Linked DNA regions of Sus scrofa. The protein of the gene in region 3 purifies or fractionates together with the protein of the main gene of each other region. This does not show direct contact. Links are inferred from orthologs where the notes say so. Each region holds a gene or a part of one and is shown on either strand. Other genes may lie near its edges. The genes, in order: CRY2, FBXO33 and SKP1.

Region 1 (7,129 bases), about 120 Mb from region 3:
GCGTCATGGGGAGTCCCCAGGTCACCTTACTTATTAATCCTGAGAGATCTGGGCTGATACGTTCTTTCTACCAACTCCCTCTGTCCCAGAAGCTCCTGAACACGGGTGCAGCCCAGAGCTAGGGAGAAAAGGGCGAAGTGAATCGTTGCCGACAATATCTAGGTTGCAGCAGGGAGAGAAAGGTAATGAAAAACTGCAAGGGATTATTTTGGGTAGCCCTTTTTAAATCTAGAAGTAGCTCGAAACCCCCTCCCCTCTTTTCCATTTTTTTGTTCTCACTGCAATACTTCCTTTCAGATGCAGTAAATTTTGGGAGGGTAGAGCTGGGGAAAATGGCAAAGGGATTAGCTAACTAGCACTTGACCAAAAAAAGTCCTGAGGTTCCTATCACTACGATTAGCTTATAAAGTTCCCACTACCACCAACGCAAGGAGTATGCTAGCCCTTCTCCTATGCTAATACACATACATATTCTTGGTCGCCTTTCTCTGTCCACTTTTACTCTTAGAAAGTGCCATTCATGGTTATTTTAATCTGATTCATCTGCTGAAAAACGCTGTGTGGGAGTCAGTACAGGAAATGAGGAGGATAACAGAGATACAGATTCTGATTCCCCCCACCCTTCCAGATGGCCCAGGGCCCACTCTTCTGAGGGAGGCTTCTCAGAGGCAGCAACTGAAGTATTTGCAGAGCTAGGACGTTACGCTGCAGCACAATTCTCCTAGATCACTTCCAGATCCAGAAACAGGAAGACTGCACATATCGTAGTTAACCCAGAGGTAGAGCTGGCTCCATCACTCCTACCAACCCCCAACCGAGTGCATTAAACAGTCTGCAAATCTGGAGGAGCTCCCATCGTGGTGCAGCAGAAATGAATACAACTAGGAATCATGAGGTTGTGGGTTTGATCCCCGGCCTCGATCAGTGGGTTAAGGATCTGGCGTTGCTGTGGCTGTGGCGTAGGCTGGTAGCAACAGCTCCAATTCGACCCCTAGTCTGGGAACCTCCATATGCCTAGGGTGCAGCTCTAAAAATAAACAGTCTGCAGGTATGCCCTCACTCTGATTCTGAGAGCAAAGAGTATAGAGGCGGTGGTAGGTGTGTGTCTGTGCCCAGGCCCAGGAGCATTTATTGTATTCAATCTGCTTTGTGTTATTTCACCTCTTTCTTCTGATACCAAAACCAATCAGACTTCCTGCCAATGCACTGCAACACATATCCCAAGTTGCCGGACTCTGTGGTCCACTTCTCTGGCTTTGCTGCACATGACAGCTTTAAAGACCCTAGTACCCAAGTCAATGAAATCAGAATTGGGAGAGAAGTGGGCCCAGCCATCTTTTAAAGATACTTAAATGATTCTCACGCGTGGCAAGGTTGACACCCATTGCTACAGTCTGTCCCCGATTTTATTTATTTCACAGCACTTAGTTCTACCAAGTTATAGCTGTTTGCTTGTCTTCCTACATGAAAATGTAAGCTCCAGGAGCTCTGGACACATCTGCTTGTTCCCTGCTGTGCTCCTAGCAGCCCCTAGAGTAGTGCCTGGCAGATATTAGGTGCTCATTAAACGCTCAATTAACATCTGCATTCCTACACAGCCTCTGACTTCAGGATTTGATATAGGCATCTGAGCTGCCACATTCTTTTTCTTTTACTCACTCAACAGCACAATTACAAAAGGGTGACCCACAAAAATCTCTAAATACCTAGTTTCTAGAGAATCTGAGTTTAATAAGCAACAGAGGTTTTGTTGTTGGTTTTTTTTTTTTTGTCTTTTTAGGGCCACGCTTGCGGCATTTGGAGGTTCCCAGGCTAGGGGTCAAATAGGAGCTGTAACTGCCAGCCTAAGCCATAGCCACAGCAATGCCAGATCCGAGCCGCATCTGTGACCTACACCACAGCTGACGGCAATGCTGGATCCTCAACCCACTGAGCGAAGCCAGGGATCCTTAACCACCGAGCCACAATGGGACCACCTGTTGTTGATTTTTAATCTCCACTACTGCAAAGGAACAGGCAATTTTATGCCACATTCCTCAAATCCCATAAAAGAAGAAACTCCTTGACAATGTAACAAACAAGTAGTCTGGAGTCTAATTACTCTGCTCTGACTGGCACACTGCCATCAGGAGAGGGGCAAAGTCTGAGGCTTAGTCCAAGCTAAGTCCACACTAGGGATGGCTGGTCATTTGAGGATGTTTGTCAGCCCAACCTCCTATCTAGAGAAACTGGAGCAAGGGCCGAGTAATAGAGCAGACTGAAAACTGTGTGGGCAGGCTCTCCACAGAACTATCTTTAGCTGTTCCCTCCATATAAATGGGGCAGGAGGGGGGCATTTAATAGACCCACTGCTAGAAGCACTCACTCTCCTAGCAGGGCACACACCTTGGAGAGGAAAGAATGGGGAGCCAGCGTATCCTGGGAATAACTCTGCCCCTCAGTGCAACAAGGCCACAAGCAAACACCTCCAGAACAATGCAAACAAACTAGAGGACGACTGCCAGACTTGTTAAAGAGAGACGGGTACACAATGTCTCAGAACACCTTTGTTTTAAACACTGGTTATGGAGAAAACACATCAACTACCTGTTAAACTTTTCCCATGATCCTGGGAGTCATCAAAGAGGGCCCCTTGGTATCACAGCTTGCCTGCTCCCAAATCTTAGCACATCAGCTGACAAGAGTCTAATCTACAGGCTCAACTGTCCTTTAAAATCAATCTCAAGAGAAGAGGAGGAAGTAAGGGACTCTTTGTTTCTTTTTCTTCTTCCTCCCCCCTCCTGCTTTTTTCCTTAGCAAGCCCATAGCTGCTGAGGGAATTCTCCAAAATAGGTTAAGTACTGCTGTCTGCTCTCTAGCCCAGGACACAGAGTGCCTCTCAATGAACGTGCCCTTGAGAGCATGTTCTTTTATTTACAATAAAGGAGCAAAGGCACCTGCCCTACCTAATGCTAAGTCAGAGTCTCTAGACACCTCCAGAGACTGGATGATCTTGGTGGAAGGAAGACAGGATAGGTGAAAAAATGAATTCACACAAACCAGAGGCTTAAGCTTAAGACGACCTTCAGGAGCGCTCTTGAAGAATGCAGGTGTCTGCCGTGCTATTTCAGAAACCTGTCCCGGCCCTCATACCGCAATAGCTCCCGTCCTCCCCTCCCTGAGCACAACCCTAAGAACCCTAGACCAGGAGTCCCTGTTCTGCCACTCGCCGGCTGCAAGTCCTTGGGCAGGTCAACTTTGTATCTCTAAGACTCCAGAGTCTCATCGGTACAATGAGGATCATGATTTTTGTTTCACGGGGACGTCGTGAGGACCAAAAGGGATAACACAGTGAGAACGCGCCGTGCCAGAGGTTGAGCCCTGGCCCACCCAAGCCCTAACTATGGGACTAATTGCTACCCACGTCGCGGCTTCTCCCCACTGGAGACTCAGCTGCGCCTCCCTGCCCCATCTCTTTCAGGTCGGGGGCTTTCAGCAGAGGGGACTGGGGCCAGAGCCTCCCCCCTCTTAGGGTACGTGCCTCAGAGGCTAGACTGCGCTCCCCGGACCCGCAAACCCGCCCGGGGCCCCCTCACCTCCACCGGTTGATCCCGACTGAAGAGGAGGCCGCGAACCAAGGGTCGAGGATGTAAACACAGCGCACGCAGTGCGCCCCGCGAACCGCCGCCAGCAGCGCCGGGTTGTCGTGGAGCCGCAGCCCCTTGCGGAACCAGTGCACCGAAGAGGCGCCTTCCGCGCCGGCAGCGGGAGCCGGGGAGGACGCCGCAGCGGTCGCCACAGCCGCCGCCATCATTGCCTGGACTGCTCTGACTGCGGCCGCTCCGCCCCCGTCGGCGCCGCGAGCCCGGCCCCCAGCTGGCCCAGTGACCTATGACGCGCCGCTACTCTTTGGAGCCCCGCCCTCAGGCCCTGGAGCGCCTCTGCTATTGGCTGGGCGCCTCCTGCCGGGCGATTGGTTAGAGGCACCATGTCTGGCCCCGCCTCCTCACGTTCCCACCATGTGTGGGCCCTGCCGGGAGGAGCCGGAGGGCTGGGCTAGTGACGCAGGCTGGCGGTCCCCAAGGAGGTCTGGGCGTGGACCAAGTCCGAGGAACGGCGGAGCTCAGCTTCCTTTTTTAGGGCCTGGCGCTGGAAGCTGTGTGGGCTGGCGAGGGTTGCTGTGACTCCAGCAAATGACTTAAAAGGACAGACCACCGGCTGTCCTACATCATCTTCGTCATCAATATAATCATCTACCACACTCTATACATACATCATTACAGCATTCTAATACAGCTTCCATTAGATGCCAACCAACGTGATAATACCCTTACGCTGCTGTCTCCTTTACTGCTGTAAACTCAGACGAGTTGCATTCTTTCAACAAACCCTAGTGAAAGAGCTGTTTTCATTTTACCGACAAAGAAAACCGAGGCTGCTGCAGGTTGAGTAACATGCTCAATATCATACAGCTAATACTTCTACCAGGATTATTCAGAATCTGAAGTTTCTGCTTTTATCCACAATACTACACCTCTGTCAGCGTTGAGCAACTTGGCATTTACAAGTAGTAGAGTCCAAAGTGTGGGCCCTGATGTGCTGCAGTAGAGGGGTTGGGATTAGGGACTGGAATTGTGGAGAATGTGGGTTGAGATTGTAATTAGGTCATCATTGGAATTCCCAGTTTGTGGCTCAGCGGTAATGAACCCGACTAGTATCCAAGAGGATGAGGGTTTGATCCCTGGGCTTGCTCAGTGGGTTAAGATCTGGTGTTGCTGTGAACTGTGATGTAGGCTGCAGACGCGGCTCAGATCCTGAGTTGCTGTGGCTAGCAGTAGATCCGATTCAGCTCCTAGCCTGGGAACCTCCAAACTCTGCAGATATGCTCTAAAAAGCAAGAGGGAAAAAAAAAAGCCATCACATGAATTTTTCTTTTAGTTCTGTCATAGACTTAGGGGTAACTCTGAGTGTAAAGGACTGAACTGGAGTCTGTGTGGGGTTCAGAGATGTGGAGGATATTCCCCACGCGTCCCCAAGAGAGCCAGGTGGAGCCCTCTTCTGGAGTCGAGCACAGGGCTTGCTGATTGACTGAATGAGTGAATGATAGGAGAAGCCTGTAAACACCCCCACTGATGTGTTGATGGTGGGCTAAGCTAGCCTGGAGCTTTGGCATTATCAAATGGAGAGGCCGTCTCAATTTGGCTCTAGGTGGCACCCTTCCTGAATTTGGGAATGAGCAATGAAGGAAGTTAGCAATTTAATCCGCAAGTGAGTGGCACTAATTGGCACAACTGTCTAAACCACAGTGTTGTTACAATCCTAGGCGCTCTCATTGCCAGGGCTTTGCACAAACTGTTCCCTCCAACCTGGATCACACCCTGAACACCCCCCCCACACACCTTCTAACTTCAGTTTGTCCTATGTCACTGCTCAGTGTAGATGTCACTTGCTGTCTGCTCCCAGCCTTCATAGTGCCCCATCTCATTCTGTGCTTCTTAATTTCTTAAAATTATTTTTGTTTATACGGAAGTTCCCAGGCCAGGGGTCAAACCCACGCCACAGCAATAACCAGAGCCACACCAGTGACGCCAGATCTTACCCGCTCAGCCACCAGGGAACTGCTTCTTATTAACACTGACCTTAATGTATGGTAGTGGAATTTCTTATCTGTCTGTCTGCCTCATTAGATTAAAACACCCTGGAGGGCTAGGACTGTGGCTTGTCTACAGCTGTATTTCCAGGGTCTAGCTCAGTGCTTGACCCTTAATGTTCAAGGATCATTTGGGTAAAAATTGAACAGGGGCTAGAATCTCAGGTTGGCAGGAACTTTAATGGCCTATCTCAGTCCTGATCCTGTTCTTAGTTTTGAATACTCTCTCCAAAAGAAACCCAAACACCTCTGACTGGAATCCAGCCTAAACCCAGATTGGAACTTGAACCCACTTTTTCAAAAAAAATTAGAACCACTGACCTGGTATCTAGACTTAGTGAGACTCAGGTTCTTTGTGCCTCAGTGCAGAAGGATTTCTGTGAGACAAATGGATAGGTAAGAAATAGCTTTATTGAGATAGGACACTTGTGAGGGATACAAGTGGGCAGGTGAGGAGGCTCAGCCCCGAGGATTAGATGGGCTATATTTTTATAATCCAAGGAAAGTGGAGGGAGAGGGGAAATGCGCTTCTTCCTCATTCTTCAGGTAGACGTCAGGCTTACGTCATAGCTCCTCCTTCCTATTGGGTAAGAGAGTGTTTGACCCTATGAGGTCACACGAGGACTTTCATGGTGCTGATTTTTCTTCACATCAGCAGAAGGGTGGTAACAGATGCTAAAATATGTTGAATCATCTCTGGTTTCTGCATAATGAGGGTCTCCTGCTTTGAAATCTCATCTTTCCCTTAAATTCCTGTCCTTGGTCCTACGGATCATGAGCTTGCTGAACTTGAACGCGGACCTCATTTTATCTTTCACTTAATGACTGGAGCCATATCACATATTTGTATGTATGGTTTTGGAGCCATATCACATGTTTGTATGTATGTTTTATCGTGAAGCAAGCCTGCTTTGTTCCATGGTGTTCTGACGGCTTTCTTGAGCGATGATTAACTAACAGTGGTCTCCCAAAGTCCCCTAGGTTTCCCTCTCTATCTGCGGTCCCCTATGGGACTTCGACAACTACCTGTGTAACTAGCCTACTCCATCCCTATCACTGGGAATGGAACAGAGAGTGGAAGGAGATGGTTCTTCCTTACAACCTCAAAGATGCATATTCTCTTTTTCTTCTCTGAATGCCCATGATGCTTTCTCTATAGACCTTGAACTCCATGAGGGCAGAGACTGTGTTTATCTTGCTCATCAGTGTATTCCCAGCCCCTAGTTTGGTACCTGACATGTAGTAGATGCTTAATAAATATTTGCTGAATGGTTGTCATTTATCTCTTTCTATCTTATTAGGCTATTTTGAGCGGCAGTGTGGTATAATGATTAAGCCTAAGGTCTTGCATATTTGGAGTGGCTGTGTTCAAAGTCTGGTCCTGCTTTTACCTGTGTGACCTTGGATAAACTAATTGAGCTCTCTGTTTCCCACTTTTTTTTTTTTTTTTTTTTTTTTTTGCTTTTCTTTTTTAGGGCTGCACTTGCAGCATATGGAGAT
Region 2 (7,129 bases), on a different chromosome or scaffold from region 3:
AAATAAAAGCTCTCAAAAGTGAGATATTGTCACATGTATTTATTACCTTTGATAGGGAAAAATAAGGCTCACTAAGGTTGGAGATAATATTTTCAGGTCATTTCTTACCTTCTTAGACAGTACTATGAAATGTCTAAAGAATTTTTAATCTATTTTAAGATGTCTTTTCAAATTGCCTTATCGGTTGTTGCTTCTCGGTAGACCGATGTTCAGAAAATACAAAGGTGAGATTCTTTCACTACCAGCGCCAAATCAGCAGATCAAATCTAAGAATTATTAACATGCCTCCTACTACTTAGAGGGTGTTTAAGTAGGCACAGTCATAAAACTGGTCAATCTACATACACAGAATTTTAACAAGAAAATCACTCTGATACAAAATAGCTCTGCCCTGCATCTTTTTAAAAAAGTACTGCTCTCAATTTAGCATTTTACCTCAAAAAACAAAATATTTATATAGTCCAGGAAAGCATAAACCAAATGACGACAATGTTACTTATGTCTACTGTTTAACTATTTTTAATGACTGAGTCTATTAGCTCTTATTGTAAATCTAATTGTCCATGAACTCTCGTTTTTCTTAAGGAGTCTAATATATGGCATTTTAATAGGCAGCACTCAACTTGACAACTAGGTTAAATCCTAAAAATGCATATATAAATTTGTTGTTTCTGAACTTCTAAGTACAATTTCTTCTAGAACCATTATAGAAGAAATTCAGCCAATTTAACCTATAATACAATTGATTGAGTACTTATTGTATTTCTGTTCTCACTGTTGGTCAGGAAGGTAAATATCCTAGAAACCTGTAGAGAAGGGAGATCAGAAGCTAGAGGACTGTATTTTACCCTCTGAGAGGCATTTCTGTATCTCTTTGATACTCATTGGTTCTTCCTAACACCTGAAATAAAGTGGCTATAGCCACTCTCAGAGTACAAGTGCATATGAAACCCAGGAATCAAGCAAAATAAAATGTCAATTATCCTCTCCGAACAGTATCCTTGAAAAGGTCCCATGATTCAAGGTTATGGTTTTAGTTCTTTCCCTCAGAGACATGAAAATAACTGGAACACAACATAATAACGCTCTGAACTGTATGAATTATTTAAAGGAATTCAACACAAAGCCTCGAAGCCTAAAGCTTGTGACTTGGTAGGTTTCATATCCCCCCTTTCAACTTATAAAATGGTAAAAATCAAAAATCAAAAAAAAAAAAACAAACCACTGTAAATTTAGCTTAGAAATGTAAAGAACAATATTAAATGTTGATTTCTCTTATTAAACAACTTGGTTTAAAACATTTTCAAATTTGTTTAAAGAAAACCAGTTTCATTTATGTTTTTAACATCCACATTAATACTTCCAGCATTACTAGACACTCTCAAGACATTTTCAAAAATAAAGCTGAGATTAACTTATTTCTAAGCATATAAAGATTATTTATATGGCAGCCTTACAGAAAAGTAGATCGGGATGCTAATAAAAAAATGGGCACACTTTTATTTGCAAATTAAACCTCAATTACAGCTGAAAAAAAGTGGTAGGGGTGAGGAGGGGGAGGAGAGAAGAGTTAAACAACAAAGCCAAGATGTTAGATACCACTATTTTGCCTGCATAACCTCATCCATCCAATCAACCAGTTATTAAAACACTTAAAAGGAACATGCACTTTGAAAGGCGTGTTCTTACTTGGACAAAAGGCACACATTTTTAAGATGATTGCTTGGAACTATCTGATCTCAAAAAATCTAATTGATACTTGCTGAATTCATCCTCCCTGGACACCCTCCTCAGCAGTAACTGCTCACTGAATCAATCTCTCTAACTTCTGGGTCATTTGGGCCTCTAGCCATCACTCAGCTCTGACAAAGAGTCTCCAACCTGATCAAGACCAATTTATAGCCTTAAACAGCCTCTCTTGCCACATAAAATGAAAGTAAGGAAAATAATGGCTTGATGTGAAAAGCTGGGAAAATACACAGCCCACTGGAATGATGAAGCCATGCTCCAGATACAGTCTGGAGCCATATGCTTATCTCCTACCCTTCTGAATCAGAAACATAATTAAGAATATGTGTATATATATATATCTCACTTAGCATTAAACCCGGACCTTAGTTCCATCCTGTTCAACATAATGTAACTACCGCGAAAGAAAGACCACTGCTTAGAGAAAAACAATGCTGTATACAATGTGTACATCATTTGACAAATTGACCCTGTTATGCATCAGTTTCTTTTCTATAAAATAGGGATAATAATAGCTATCCTGACTAACTCACAGGGTCATTGAAAGGAGCAAATAAGATAGTGAATGTGAAAGTACTCACAAACTACTAAATTATTATTATGTAAGTTGCTCCTTCTTAGAACTTTTGAATTTTCTTCTAACTCATACTTTAATTATAAAGTTAGAATACCCAGATACAGAACATCTAAATTAACAGTATTTTGGAGACGGTGATAGACAAATAATGGAAAATATTGATTAGGACAATGGGTCAGAACATATCAAGTTAGTCTCAGAATTACAGTAGAATTCTAATGAAAAACTAGGCCGCTAAGGGCTTACTCTTTATAGACACAGGCCAGTTCCCCCAACTCATGCAAACACCAAGCTATATATACTGTGCTACTTTTAGGTGAATAACTAGGGATAAGTTGAGTCTGGAGGTGCAAAGGGGAGGGACTTCCCAATCTTCATTATCAGGCTGTTCCCCAATCCTTTTAACAAACACTCCTACTCTTCATGCCTGGCCTAGTTAATCAAAACTATTCCCAGTAAGAAAATGGCTGTCAAAGATTTTTTGGGGGGGTACAGTCTAGTAACTATGAGAAACCAGTAGCATAGCTAGTCCTTCCCCACCACGAACTATTTTGAATGGATAGATTCAGAACTGAAAAAATCAGGTAGGATTTTGTTTCTCCCAAGACTCACTCACAGGCCTCACCCTCCAAGCTTCAGCTCTCATCTGTAAAATGAACTCCATCCCATTGCCAACGAAAGTACGAATGAGACAGGGCTTGGAAGGTGCCAGGAATGCTGTCTGATAAACACCAAATCCATCACTGTTTATAAAGTATTACGATAATCCCGTTATGCCCTCCCGCCTCAAGGAAATCGCTGGATTAAAACTGAAACCCCTAATCACTGAAAAAAGCAACGCTGAAGCGGGCCGGGAGTATCCGCACAGAATCTATTTTGAGGTGAGAGGAAGAAGGCCATCCTGCTCCCCGGGAGAGGAGGAAGCGGGAGAAGAGGATGAATGCAGGGTCCACGACGAGCCTACCTGTTGTTCCGGATGCTGACCAGCACGCACAGCACCAGCTCTAAGTAGGTGCGCAACACTTCTAGCCAACGGGATGAGAGCTGCAGGGCTTCGACTTCTTCCCCGCCAGTCCCGGTGTCGGCGCTGCCTCCATCGCCCGGGCCGCCGCCGCCGCTCAGGTAATTCTCCGCGGCGAACTCAACGCGCAGCTCTCGCACGAACCAGCCGCACTTGCGCATGAGGAATTCGAGCCGTGGCTGCTCCGCAGGCGAGACGCGGAGGCAGATGCGGAGCTGGGGCCAGAGAGCAGGATAGAAGAGGCACTCGCGCCAGTGCGAGCAGGAGGCCGAGGCCCGTAGCCGGTCGGAGGCGGACAGGAAGGAGAAGATGTGCACGATCAGCTCGCTGGGCAGCGACGCAGCGCCTGCCGCCTGCCCGCACAGAGCCATCCGGCCCCGCCGCCGGCTGCCGGTCCCCGGCCGCCTCCGCAATCCCCGGAGCAGCCCCCGCAGCCGTCGCAGCTGCTGCAGCCGCAGCCGCCGCCGCCGCCACCGCGCCACCCGGGCGGCCCCTGCTCGGGTTCCGGCTCCCGGTGGTCGGGGCTGCGGCACTGACAAGAACAACAACATCAATGACAAGGAAGAAGGGGGCGGAACCGTCGTAGGTCTCGGCGGAACCAAGTACAGCACAAGTTGCGGAGAGGGGGAAAGGCCTCTGCGGGGTTGGCCTCCAGACAGCCAGCCTGTGGCCTCTCAAACTTTACTCACGCGCGTCCGAGGCCTACACACTCAGGAACTTCAAAATCCTTGCTTTTACTGGTTAGGGGCCCGGAAGCGGCAGGACTAATTGTAAGGAAACGGCAGCCCTCCCCGCGCCTGGAGGCGGAGGCAGAGCAGTGGTAGGACCTGAGTTTGACGTCACCAGTGGTGGGAGGAGCCCGGCGTGATCCGGAGCTACTTCCGGAAGAAGGGAGCGCCCGGTTGCCGGTAGGAAAGGGAGACGCGGCACGTGACTCCTGACGCACGCAGGCTGTCGGGACGGGGGTGGGGAAGCGCTGGTGGTGCCGGTGTTGGGCGCCCCCTCCCGTCTCACAGAGACCGCCGAGTCCCGTCTTGTTTGTAAGTCGGTTAACTGGGGCGCTCAGGCAGTGTAAGTGGCGGAACTCGCGTTAGCGTAAGCGGGCGGTGACGCTTCTCATTATACGTTTTCCTGTTGCTGGGCTGAGGACTCAGAGCCAAAGTGCCGGCTTGGGTCTTTTTCAGCCTAACCTCCCCTCCCCCCTCCCCCGCAGAGAATTGTTGGGAGTTTCTGAGAAAAAGCCGCTAAGGCAGCAGGACCGGCGCCCTCGCGGGCTAACCCGAGGGGCTGGGTGAGGAGAGGAGAAGCGCGGGGAGGGGAGGCTGGACACAGGCCGCAAGCGGACCTTCCCTCGTGGTCAGACCTCGGAGTGGACAGTAGCGCACACCTGGGTGCGAGGGGAAGGAGTGAGGACAGCGCCACCCTTTGGATTTTGAGGGAGAAGAGAAAAAAAAAGGGCAAATGGGTTAGATCTGTTGGTTGATAATTAGTCTCTTATCCAGAGATTGAGGGAGACTGAGTTCCAGGTTTGGGGGCTCTAATTGTAAAGAAGTTTGTTGTTATGGTAAAGGTTTTCTTTAGCTCGGCGCCCGGTTTTTGAGGGAGGGATTTTTCGAAAGAGTGTCCTAACTTTATCACAACTCGGGAAGTAGTTAGTTAACTGACTGTAAGGAGCAGTGAAGTCAGAAAGAAATAAGCGATTTTATGTAATAATTGAGGATCGCTTTAATGAGGCTGCCGCTTCAAAGCCTTAACTAGGGTCTTGGAACAGCCGTGTTTATTTGTGGCTAACTCTCAGAAGCTGTTCTCCTGGATATTTTTAGCCCTCTGAGGGCAAAACTCTCCATTCATAATGCTTCCATGCCTTTTGATGCCTAGCACAGGCCCGTTACCAATAATATTGTGTTGGTACCTCAGTTATCTTCATTTCGGTACCTGTGGGGGGGGGGAAGCTATCATTCATGGTAGGTCACTTCTCTGAACCTCTTGTCTGTAAGAGATTTTTCTATGCAGTTATTATTATATCTTATGAATGGATTAATGAGCATTAATGGAAACAGCAGTGAATTAGGAAGTTGAGGCTTGGATTTAAATTTTTTATTTTTTAAAAGCATTCATTTTTTGGGGGGGGGGCTTGTCTTTTTAGGCCCGCACCCGCGGCATATGGAGGTTCCCAGGCTAGGGGTCCAGTTGGAGCTGTAGCTGCCGGCCTACACCACAGCTCACGGCAGCCCTGGATCCTTAACCCACTGAGCGAGGCCAGGGATGGAACCGGCAACCTCATGGTTCCTAGTGGGATTCGTTTCTGCTGCACCTCCATGGGATCTCCATCATTGAAATATTTTGAGTGACCCATGGACATCTAGATTTCCCACTTAATAGTAATTAAGTGTGCATCTCTTTAAAAGCGTATTATTACATAACAAAACTATCACACTTGAAAAACTTCTGTTGTCTAATAACCCATCTTCAAGTTTATCTAGTTATTTTCCAAATGTTTGTTATAGATGTTTTATCCAAACCAAGATCCGGTTGCATAGGCCGGCAGCTACAGCTCCGATTTGACCCCTAGGCTGGAACTTATATATGCCATGGATGCTGCTCTAAAAAGACAACCCCCCCCCCAAAAAAAAGGAAGTTCCCCTTCGAGGCTCAGCAGTAAGGATCCCAACTAATATCCAAATCAGGATCCAAGTAAGGGCCACACTTGTTTTAGTTTGTATTTAAAGCTTCTTTTAATCTAGAATAGTCACCCTCTTCCCAGCACTCATTTTTGGGGTCTCTCTGATTAGTTAATTACAGGAGGCTTATTGTGCTGTAGAATATCTCCCATCTGTAATTGTTTGGCTACTTTCTCTTGGTGTTTAGCTTACTACTCTAGTCCCTGAATTTCTAATAAACCTACATATTAATGTTAAAGGCTTGATTAGGTTGGTGACATCTTGATCTCCCTCCTTATAAAGTTTTGTGTTTTGTTTTTCTCTAAGTAATCTGTGAGATGTTATTTTCTACAAATGTCCAACTCCTCCATCAATGATTCACTTAATAGCCTTAACAATAATTGATAATTCTTGCCTGAATCATAATTTTATTATGAGTTGCAAAATAATAATTTCTAAGTCTTTTGTTCCATTTATATTTATTAATTTTCATTCTTCTGGATAGGAGAAGCTTTCTTTAACAAACTGGCAACATTTAGTTACCCTGAAATACAGCTCCTATTCTCCTATTGAAAAGACAGGAAAAAATGCCTAGTTCTTTTTCTTTTATTACCCATTTTGAAAGTAAGTTCTTTGGCCTCAAAGAGTGATGAATGAGTTTTTCTAGTTTTTATTTTTTCTGAATATCAAATTCTCATGGATTTTTAAAATGTTTTAATTTTCCTTTTTGATCCTTAAATTTTGATACTTCTAGAACACCTCACAAAGAAGTGTATGTGATTAATATTACAATTTTAAAAAATTCCTTGAGCATTTTTAGTAGAGGTAATACTGTACTGAGTGGGAGGGTAAGCTGGATTTTGATCTTTTTTTCTTTTTTGCTTTTGTAGTAATATAGCTGGGTGACATTTAAACACGTTGCTTAACCCTTTGGGGCCTCACTTATCTTCGTCTGTCAAGTAGAGAGTTTTTGCAAGGTTCCCTGCAGCTGATGTTCTCTGACTTTTTAAAAATCTGTTTTATGGAGATACATTTTTCATATGTAATTCGTTTCAAGTATACACATCAACAGTTTAGTAGTTTTATCAAATTTTACAACCATCACTGTAAATAAGTTTTATT
Region 3 (7,129 bases):
ATAGAAAAGTGTATAAAGTGAAAAATCACCCCAACCCTCTTCTCCAGTCACCTAATTCTCCTCCTGAGGCAAACAATTTCTTGTGTATCTTTCCTGAGATAATCTATGCATGTAACAGCTGTATGAGTAAATGAAAACTGCATTTTCTTCCTTTTTTTGAAATCTGCATTTTATTTATTTATTTATTTATTTATTTATTGTCTTTTTGCCATTTCTTGGGCCACACCCACGGCATATGGAGGTTCCCAGGCTAGGGGTCAAATCGGAACTGTAGCTGCTGGCCTACGCCAGAGCCACAGCAACGCAGGATCGGAGCCGCGTCTGCAACCTACACCACAGCTCACGGCAACGCCGGATCCTTAATCCACTGAGCAAGGCCAGGGATAAAACCCGCAACCTCATGGTTTCTAGTCGGATTTGTTAACCACCAAGCCACGACGGGAACTCCTGAAATCTGCATTTTAAAAACTAGAATCCTGGCAGTTCCCGTTGTGGCTCAGCAGGTTAAGAGCATGACTAGTATCCATGAGGATGCCCGTTTGATCCCTGGTCTCACTCAGTGGGTTAAGGATTCAGCACTGCAGCAAGTTGCAGCATAGGTTGCAGACGCAGCTCTGATCCAATACTTCTGTGGCTGTGCCGAAGGCCTCAGCTGTATCTCATATTCAACCCCTAGCCTGGGAACTTCCATATGCTGCAGGTGTAGCCATTAAAAGAAAAAGCAGCCAAAAAAAGCCACCCAAGAATATCTCGGTGATTCTAATATTAGGGGCCCCCAGACATTTTGGAAAAAACATACACCTTCCTAATGCCAGGCCCTGTGCCAGATCCTCCAGCTAGACGTGTAATCTGGCACTGCCCAGTCCTGCTTAGGATGCTCAACTAGGCTACAAGGTGGCCCTTATATGCCACAGGCAGGGGAGCAAAGGGGATCTAGTGGGCCTTAACTAAGAGACCAGAAGCTGGAGCTGCTTAGGGCAGGGCAGGCTTGTGGAGAAAAAGTCTGAGAGCTGTAGGTCCTTTCATCTTCCCGACATCAGCTGTGGCACCTGGCAGACACTGGATACCACAGCTTGGAGACAAAGACCTGGTAACCCAAGGAGCTGCTTGGTCTCCCTGCCCAGTCCCATCTCAGAAGAGCTGCAGGCTTCTGATTTCTTTAGGGGGCCCTGTGTGGAAGTGTCCTTTGTCTCCTTGGCGTCAGGAATACCATCACGTGCCTGCTGGTTAGGTGAGCCTGGCGCCTTAGTCTCCTCCAGAGGGGTGGCATTGTTCTCTAAACAGAGCAGGGTAGAGCAGGTCAAAGTCCCTGACTGGAGAGGGTGGGAGTGGGAATTTGCAGACTAACCCCTTTCCCTTGAGGGTTGGTTTCATCTTAGGGACCCTAACACAGCCTTTAGGGAGCATCCCACACAAGGGCTCTCTGCAGGCTGGACTCTGGCTGCCTCGTTCGCTGCCGAATTCCTAGCACCCATCACCTCGCCCTCCCCCCACCCAATACACTTTTGCTAACTTGGGGTTTCCCTGAAACAGTGGTTACTTTGGATTGGAGGCCTCTTCAGAAGTCGATAGGAAATCAGAGTTGAGAGTATCAAACAATCCTTGCTCTGCCACTGAACCGTTTTGAACCTGTTCCCTCACAAGTCAAAGAGAAAAGGGTAATGGTATTTCTTCTTCTTTTTTTTTTTTTGTCTTTTTGTCTTTCTAGGGCCGCACCCAAGGCATACGGAGGTTCCCTGGCTAGGGGTCGAATCGGAGCTGTAGCCACCGGCCTACACCAGAGCCACAACGTGGGATCCGAGTCGCGACTGTGACCTACACCACAGCTCATGGCCACTCCAAATCCTTAACCCACTGAGCGAGGCCAGGGATCGAACCCGAAACCTCATGGTTTCTAGTCGGATTCGTTAACCACTGAGCCACGAGGGGAACTCCTGATATTTCTTCTTATGCATTATTGTGGAGAGTGAGCTAACTCATGTAGGGTTCAGGGGAGGACACTGAGGCCCTGAGCAAAATCTCACAGCGCTGGCTGCAAAGATCAGCGCCCTTTCTTTCTCAGAGTCCCAGTTTCCCCATCATGAAAAGGAGCTGCAGCCCCTCCCAAACACCACCCCTAACACAGACGCCTCTCCCTCCCCACTCCGCCCCTCTCTCCCCGCTACTCCCCGCGCTCTCCCTCCCGGCCCCTCGCTCCAGGTTTCTAGGCTTTTCGGGACTGGGGTCTTTAATTCGACTTAGGCCAGCTCCCGCCTGAAAGACCCTTGCAGGCCGTGGAGTATCTGAGCCAGTCCCCCGTTTCCGCTTTGAGGGGAGTGAGCGCCGCTTTCGAGGGAAGGGGTGAGACTCAAGGCCCGCCGCGCCTCGCCCCGCCGGTCTGCGCCTGCCGTCAGGCGATCTCGGCGGCCAGCCCTGCCGTCTCTGTGACGTCACGGGCCCCGGGGTCCTCGGCGCCTGCGCCCGCTGCTATAAAGGCGACGCCGCGCCACTCGGTTGAAGTCGCCTTGTGCGTCGCTTTTCTGTCTCTCCGGTTGCGGACACCGCCCTTCTCTCGTCAGCCTCCGGCCCGCCATCTCCTTGAGCCCAAACACCGTGAGTACCCGCCGCCTGAGCTGAAAGGGGGCGGTGGCGCCGCAGATTGCGAGCCGCGGGCCGCCCCGCTGCGGCTTTGGCCTTGCTCGAAACGGCAGGCACCTGGGCCTGGCCTTCCCTCAGGCCCGGTGAAAGCCGTCGTCGACCCCATTCTCCCGGAGGTGCCATTCACCTCCCACACCGCCCCTCGACTTGCCGAGGCCTCTTTTAGCCGCTAGTCTTCACCGCGCCCAGGCGGGCGGGAGGGAGAAGGTGTGAGCGGAACCGGGATTGGGCCTTCTCTGCGCGGGGCGACCCTCAGCCGTCGCGGAGCAAGGCTGCAGGCCCAGGCTGCGGCCGGGGCCTCCCTCGGCGGTTGAGCCCATCGGCCCCGGGAAGCCAGGGCGAGGGTGGTGGCGGGGCTTTTAATGGACTTCTCTGGGTCGTCGTGAGCATGGGCGTTTGTCCGTTTGTTGTTCGGGTGTCCCAGAGGAAGCGTGGTAGGGTCGTCCCGCAGCTGGATTCTTGGCTCTCAGTCTTTCTCGCCCCTGTGTCTGGCGTCACTCGTCCTGGTTAACTGCGCCGGAGCCGAATTTCGGCAGAGAGCTGCCTGCTCCTTCGGAATATTTGTCGCCCATTATTTTGCCACAGCCCGCGGTTGTTGAAGCAATTGTTGGAGTAGCAGGTGCCATCGCCACAGTGGTTTGGCTTTTAGGTGCACCAACTCCGTAAACTTACTAAGAGGTTTTCGAAGGGATAGGATGTTCACCTGCTTTGGTTTGCTTTTTAATGGAGACTAAAGGTTGGAGTTTGGGCTCATGAATGTTTTCATGAGAGCGTCACAGCAGAATGTTTGTGTGTCATAGAGCAACGCAGATTTCACTTTGCCCTATAAGAAGAAGTGTCAGAACTTCGGGTCACTTAAACAGGTTTTTTTTCTTTTATGATGTTTGATAGACCCCTCCTCCTGGAGGGTGATTTAACTCAAAAGTGCCGGCGCATACGGAATTGAAGGAATGGTCTGGAGAACATACCACATCAAAGTTTCATGGATAATTATAGAAAAGTTTTGCTCTGATTTCCAGCTGTATAACGCTAAAAAAAATTTTTTTTTGAGTATTAAGTTTAGCTTACAAAGTGCATCGAATTACAGATTAACCGATTGTTTCCCTGCTATTTATTTAGTAAGATCTCAGTTAAGAGTAACCTAATACACGAATTTGACTGTGACTAAGCAGATATGGCTGTTTATCAAAAGTTATTTGAAATATGAAATGTTCGTCTTGCTTAAAAGTAATTTTATCAACTGCATTTCCAGACTTGTGATTTTATAACGTTCACTCCAGTGTTGTGGAACAGTCATAGAGCATAGAATGTTTTGTAATTTAAAATTGAGCTCATGTTAAAGTATTTCTTTAGGGGGATATCTTTTGCTTTTGCCTTGTCGCAAGGAAGGTCCTCTGCTCTGGGCGTTTCTTCATGGAGCAGGACAACTGCATTATTGGCAGGCACTGAGTAATATGGAGAAGCAGACATTTGTGAACTGAAAAGTGAAATCTGATTCTCTGCAACCATGGATGAGTGTGAGCTGGATATTTCAATGGCTGGTTTTAAAACAGCTTTACCTTTTTGCTTCCTTGCCCTAACACCTTTGTCTCTTTGGGGAATGGAGACAGTTGTGTGGGAAAAGCTGAATATTGTAACCGATTTAACGGGTCCTAAGTGTTGGGGCCTAAAATAGGTGCAGTCAGTGTTTTGAATGCCAAATTCTGTATTTTTAAGTTAGAGTGATATCAGAGTATTATTACGAACATCTCAGATGCACGGGCCTTTTAAAAACCTGTTACAGAAACTTAAAGAGATCTTGAGTTTTTACAGTCAGGTGTTGCTGCCGCCCACCCCCCATGCCTCTCCCCCAAGAATCTGAAGACGGTAAGAAATTGCTGGCTTAGAAGCTTAGAACTTTTAATTCTAAAGAGGTTTTGTTTTGTTTTTGCCAAAACTCAAGTCCTTTGAAGTTAAATGCTTAATTAACTTTTATGTAAGAAGTGTCTTTTTCCTAATGACTCATAATCAGTGTGAGTTAATAAATTCATTTTGGCGGCAAGTAAAAGGCTGTTATTACTATGAGGATTTTGGCATTCGATCTCAAACTTGGGACGCCTAGACAGTCAGTAAAGAAAGATAAACAGGACTCTGAAACTATAGGTTTAGGGCATTAGGTCAACATCTGCTTATCCTTAGATATTTCATTCTCTTCTCTATGGCCTTGCTTTCATCCAAACATAAGTAAGTATATTCTAATCTACTCTTTAGATCTGAACTCACTTTTTACTGATAAGTTTCACTGTGGGAAAATTAATATCTTATTTGGTAGCTTTGTTTATTTTGGACTGACCTCCCTCAGGTGAAAGGAGAAAGGCAGGCAAAGAGTAAAAAAGCATTTTAGATATATTTTGCATTAGAAATATAAGTGTGAGTTTTAAAATTTATACCAGTAATGAGTGCAGAAGGGTAGGCCTTAAAAGTTTCTGTTCCTAGGAGTTATATATACTTTTGAAAAAATTTTATAGAAATACTTGTATAAAATTGCCTTATAATCATTTACAGTGTTTTATACTATACTACAGGTCGTTAAGATTTTGTAGTTAATAAGTTAGAAGGCTTAGACATTTAATGGTGAAATGCAGTGTAGAAGTAATATCTCTTAAATTTCAAATTCAATATAATACCTTTTTTTAGATGCCTTCAATTAAGTTGCAGAGTTCCGATGGCGAGATATTTGAAGTTGATGTTGAAATTGCCAAACAGTCTGTGACTATCAAGACCATGTTGGAAGGTAAGTTAATTAGAAAACCTGGGTCACGGTAAAGGGAAGAAATATGTAGCTTAAGATAACCTGTGAACATCGAATCTATAGACATAAAAATCCATCATAAAATGCTGAAGAGTATGAAGGGTAAAATTTGTGTCTTTTTTTCTTCCAAAGTTTAACTGCATTTTTCTGATACAAGTCTTTTTTTTTTTTCTACATTGTCTGAATTTCTTTTATTAAGTAGGTAACACCGTAAGCTAACATTGAAATGGTTTTCAAGCCTCAGATAGTGGCTCATTTCTCTTTCAAGTAGGTTTGGATTCACAATTTCTAATGACACAAACTAAAGCCTTTGGAAAAGAGATACCTTACATATGATAGCTAAGTAGAGCAGCACTTTGTTTAAGCAGAGGGAGTAAGCTGAGTAGATTGTAAACTGAGTAGATGTCTTTTTTCCCTTTTGGCTATTCTTTTGAAACTGCTGCAAAACATATATGCAGTACATCAAAGAATTAAGGCAAGAAAATAGGTCCTGAAACATTTTAAACTTTTACTAGTTAACATAGATTTCCTAGAATTATTGTAGGCTGGTAAACATTGATGGTATATAGAGACACACAAATCACTTTCTAGAATTGGAGGAAAAAAACTTAATAGTTATTGGGGGAGTTTCCCTCATGGCTCAGCGGAAATGAATCTGACTAGTATCCACAAAGATGCGGGTTTGATCCCTGGCCTTGCTCAGTGGGTTAAGGATCTCATATTGCTGTGGCTGTGGTGTAGGCCAGCAGCTGTAGCTCTGATTTGACCCCTGGCTTGGGCACCTCCAAATGCTGTGGGTCTAAAAAAACTCAAAAAAAAAAAGTTCTTCGGTACTGTTGTCTCCATATCTGCATAGGATTGGTTCCGGGATACAAAATCCGTGGGTATTCAAATCCCTGATCCCAAATACTACATCCCAAATGCCATATTTGCAAATAATCTCCATAATCCTCCCTTATACTTGAATTTATCTCTGGATTACTTATACCTCATAAGACTCTAAATGCTGGAGTTCCCGTCGTGGCTCAGTGGTTAACAATCCGACTAGGAACCATGAGGTTGCGAATTCGGTCCCTTCCCTCGCTCAGTGGGTTAACGGTCCGGCGTTGCCGTGAACTGTGGTGTAGGTTGCAGACGCGACTCGGATCCCGTGTTGCTGTGGCTCTGGCGTAGGCCAGCAGCTACAGCTCTAATTGGACCCCTAGCCTGGGAACCTCCATATGCCGCGGGAGTGGCCCAAGAAATGGCAAAAAGACAGAAAAAAAAAAGATTGTAAATGCTATGTAAATAGTTGCCTGTGTGTGTGGAAAATTCAGGTTTTGCTTTTTCTAACTTTCTGTAATTTTTTAAGTTTTTTTTTTCTTGCTTTTTAGGGCTGCACCCGCCGGCATAAGGAGGTTTCCAGGCTAGGGGTCCAATAGGAGCTGTAGCTGCTGGCCTACACCACAGCCACAGCCACGCCAGAACAGAGCTGCATCTGTGACCTACACCACAGCTCATGGCAACGACGGATTCTCCCACTGATCGAGGCCAGGGATCGAACCCGCAACCTCATGGTTCCTAGTCAGATTTGTTTCCACTGCAACATGAGAACTCCAAATTTAAGTTTTTTTAAAAAATTATTTATTTTGGATGATCTGTGACATGTGGAAGTTCCTGGGCCAGGGATCGAATCTAAGTCACAGCTGCAGCAACGCTATA

The links.
Region 1: the proteins of SKP1 (region 3) and CRY2 purify together in Homo sapiens (co-immunoprecipitation; 3 studies listed by BioGRID and IntAct, with this or other methods). This does not show direct contact. The link is inferred for Sus scrofa from reciprocal best matches to the Homo sapiens genes SKP1 and CRY2.
Region 2: the proteins of SKP1 (region 3) and FBXO33 purify together in Homo sapiens (affinity purification with mass spectrometry; 5 studies listed by BioGRID and IntAct, with this or other methods). This does not show direct contact. The link is inferred for Sus scrofa from reciprocal best matches to the Homo sapiens genes SKP1 and FBXO33.

The regions. Positions count from the first base shown.
Region 1 is NC_010444.4:16,616,529-16,623,657, forward strand, and holds the start of CRY2 (cryptochrome-2), read right to left. Parts: upstream 3,853-7,129; 5' UTR 3,794-3,852; coding exon 3,576-3,793; intron 1-3,575. UniProt on the Homo sapiens protein: Transcriptional repressor which forms a core component of the circadian clock.
Region 2 is NC_010443.5:169,911,702-169,918,830, forward strand, and holds the start of FBXO33 (F-box only protein 33), read right to left. Parts: upstream 4,156-7,129; 5' UTR 3,899-4,155; coding exon 3,291-3,898; intron 1-3,290. UniProt on the Homo sapiens protein: Substrate recognition component of a SCF (SKP1-CUL1-F-box protein) E3 ubiquitin-protein ligase complex which mediates the ubiquitination and subsequent proteasomal degradation of target proteins. Probably recognizes and binds to phosphorylated target proteins.
Region 3 is NC_010444.4:136,471,372-136,478,500, reverse strand, and holds the start of SKP1 (S-phase kinase-associated protein 1), read left to right. Parts: upstream 1-2,136; 5' UTR 2,137-2,592; intron 2,593-5,313; coding exon 5,314-5,410; intron 5,411-7,129. UniProt on the Homo sapiens protein: Essential component of the SCF (SKP1-CUL1-F-box protein) ubiquitin ligase complex, which mediates the ubiquitination of proteins involved in cell cycle progression, signal transduction and transcription.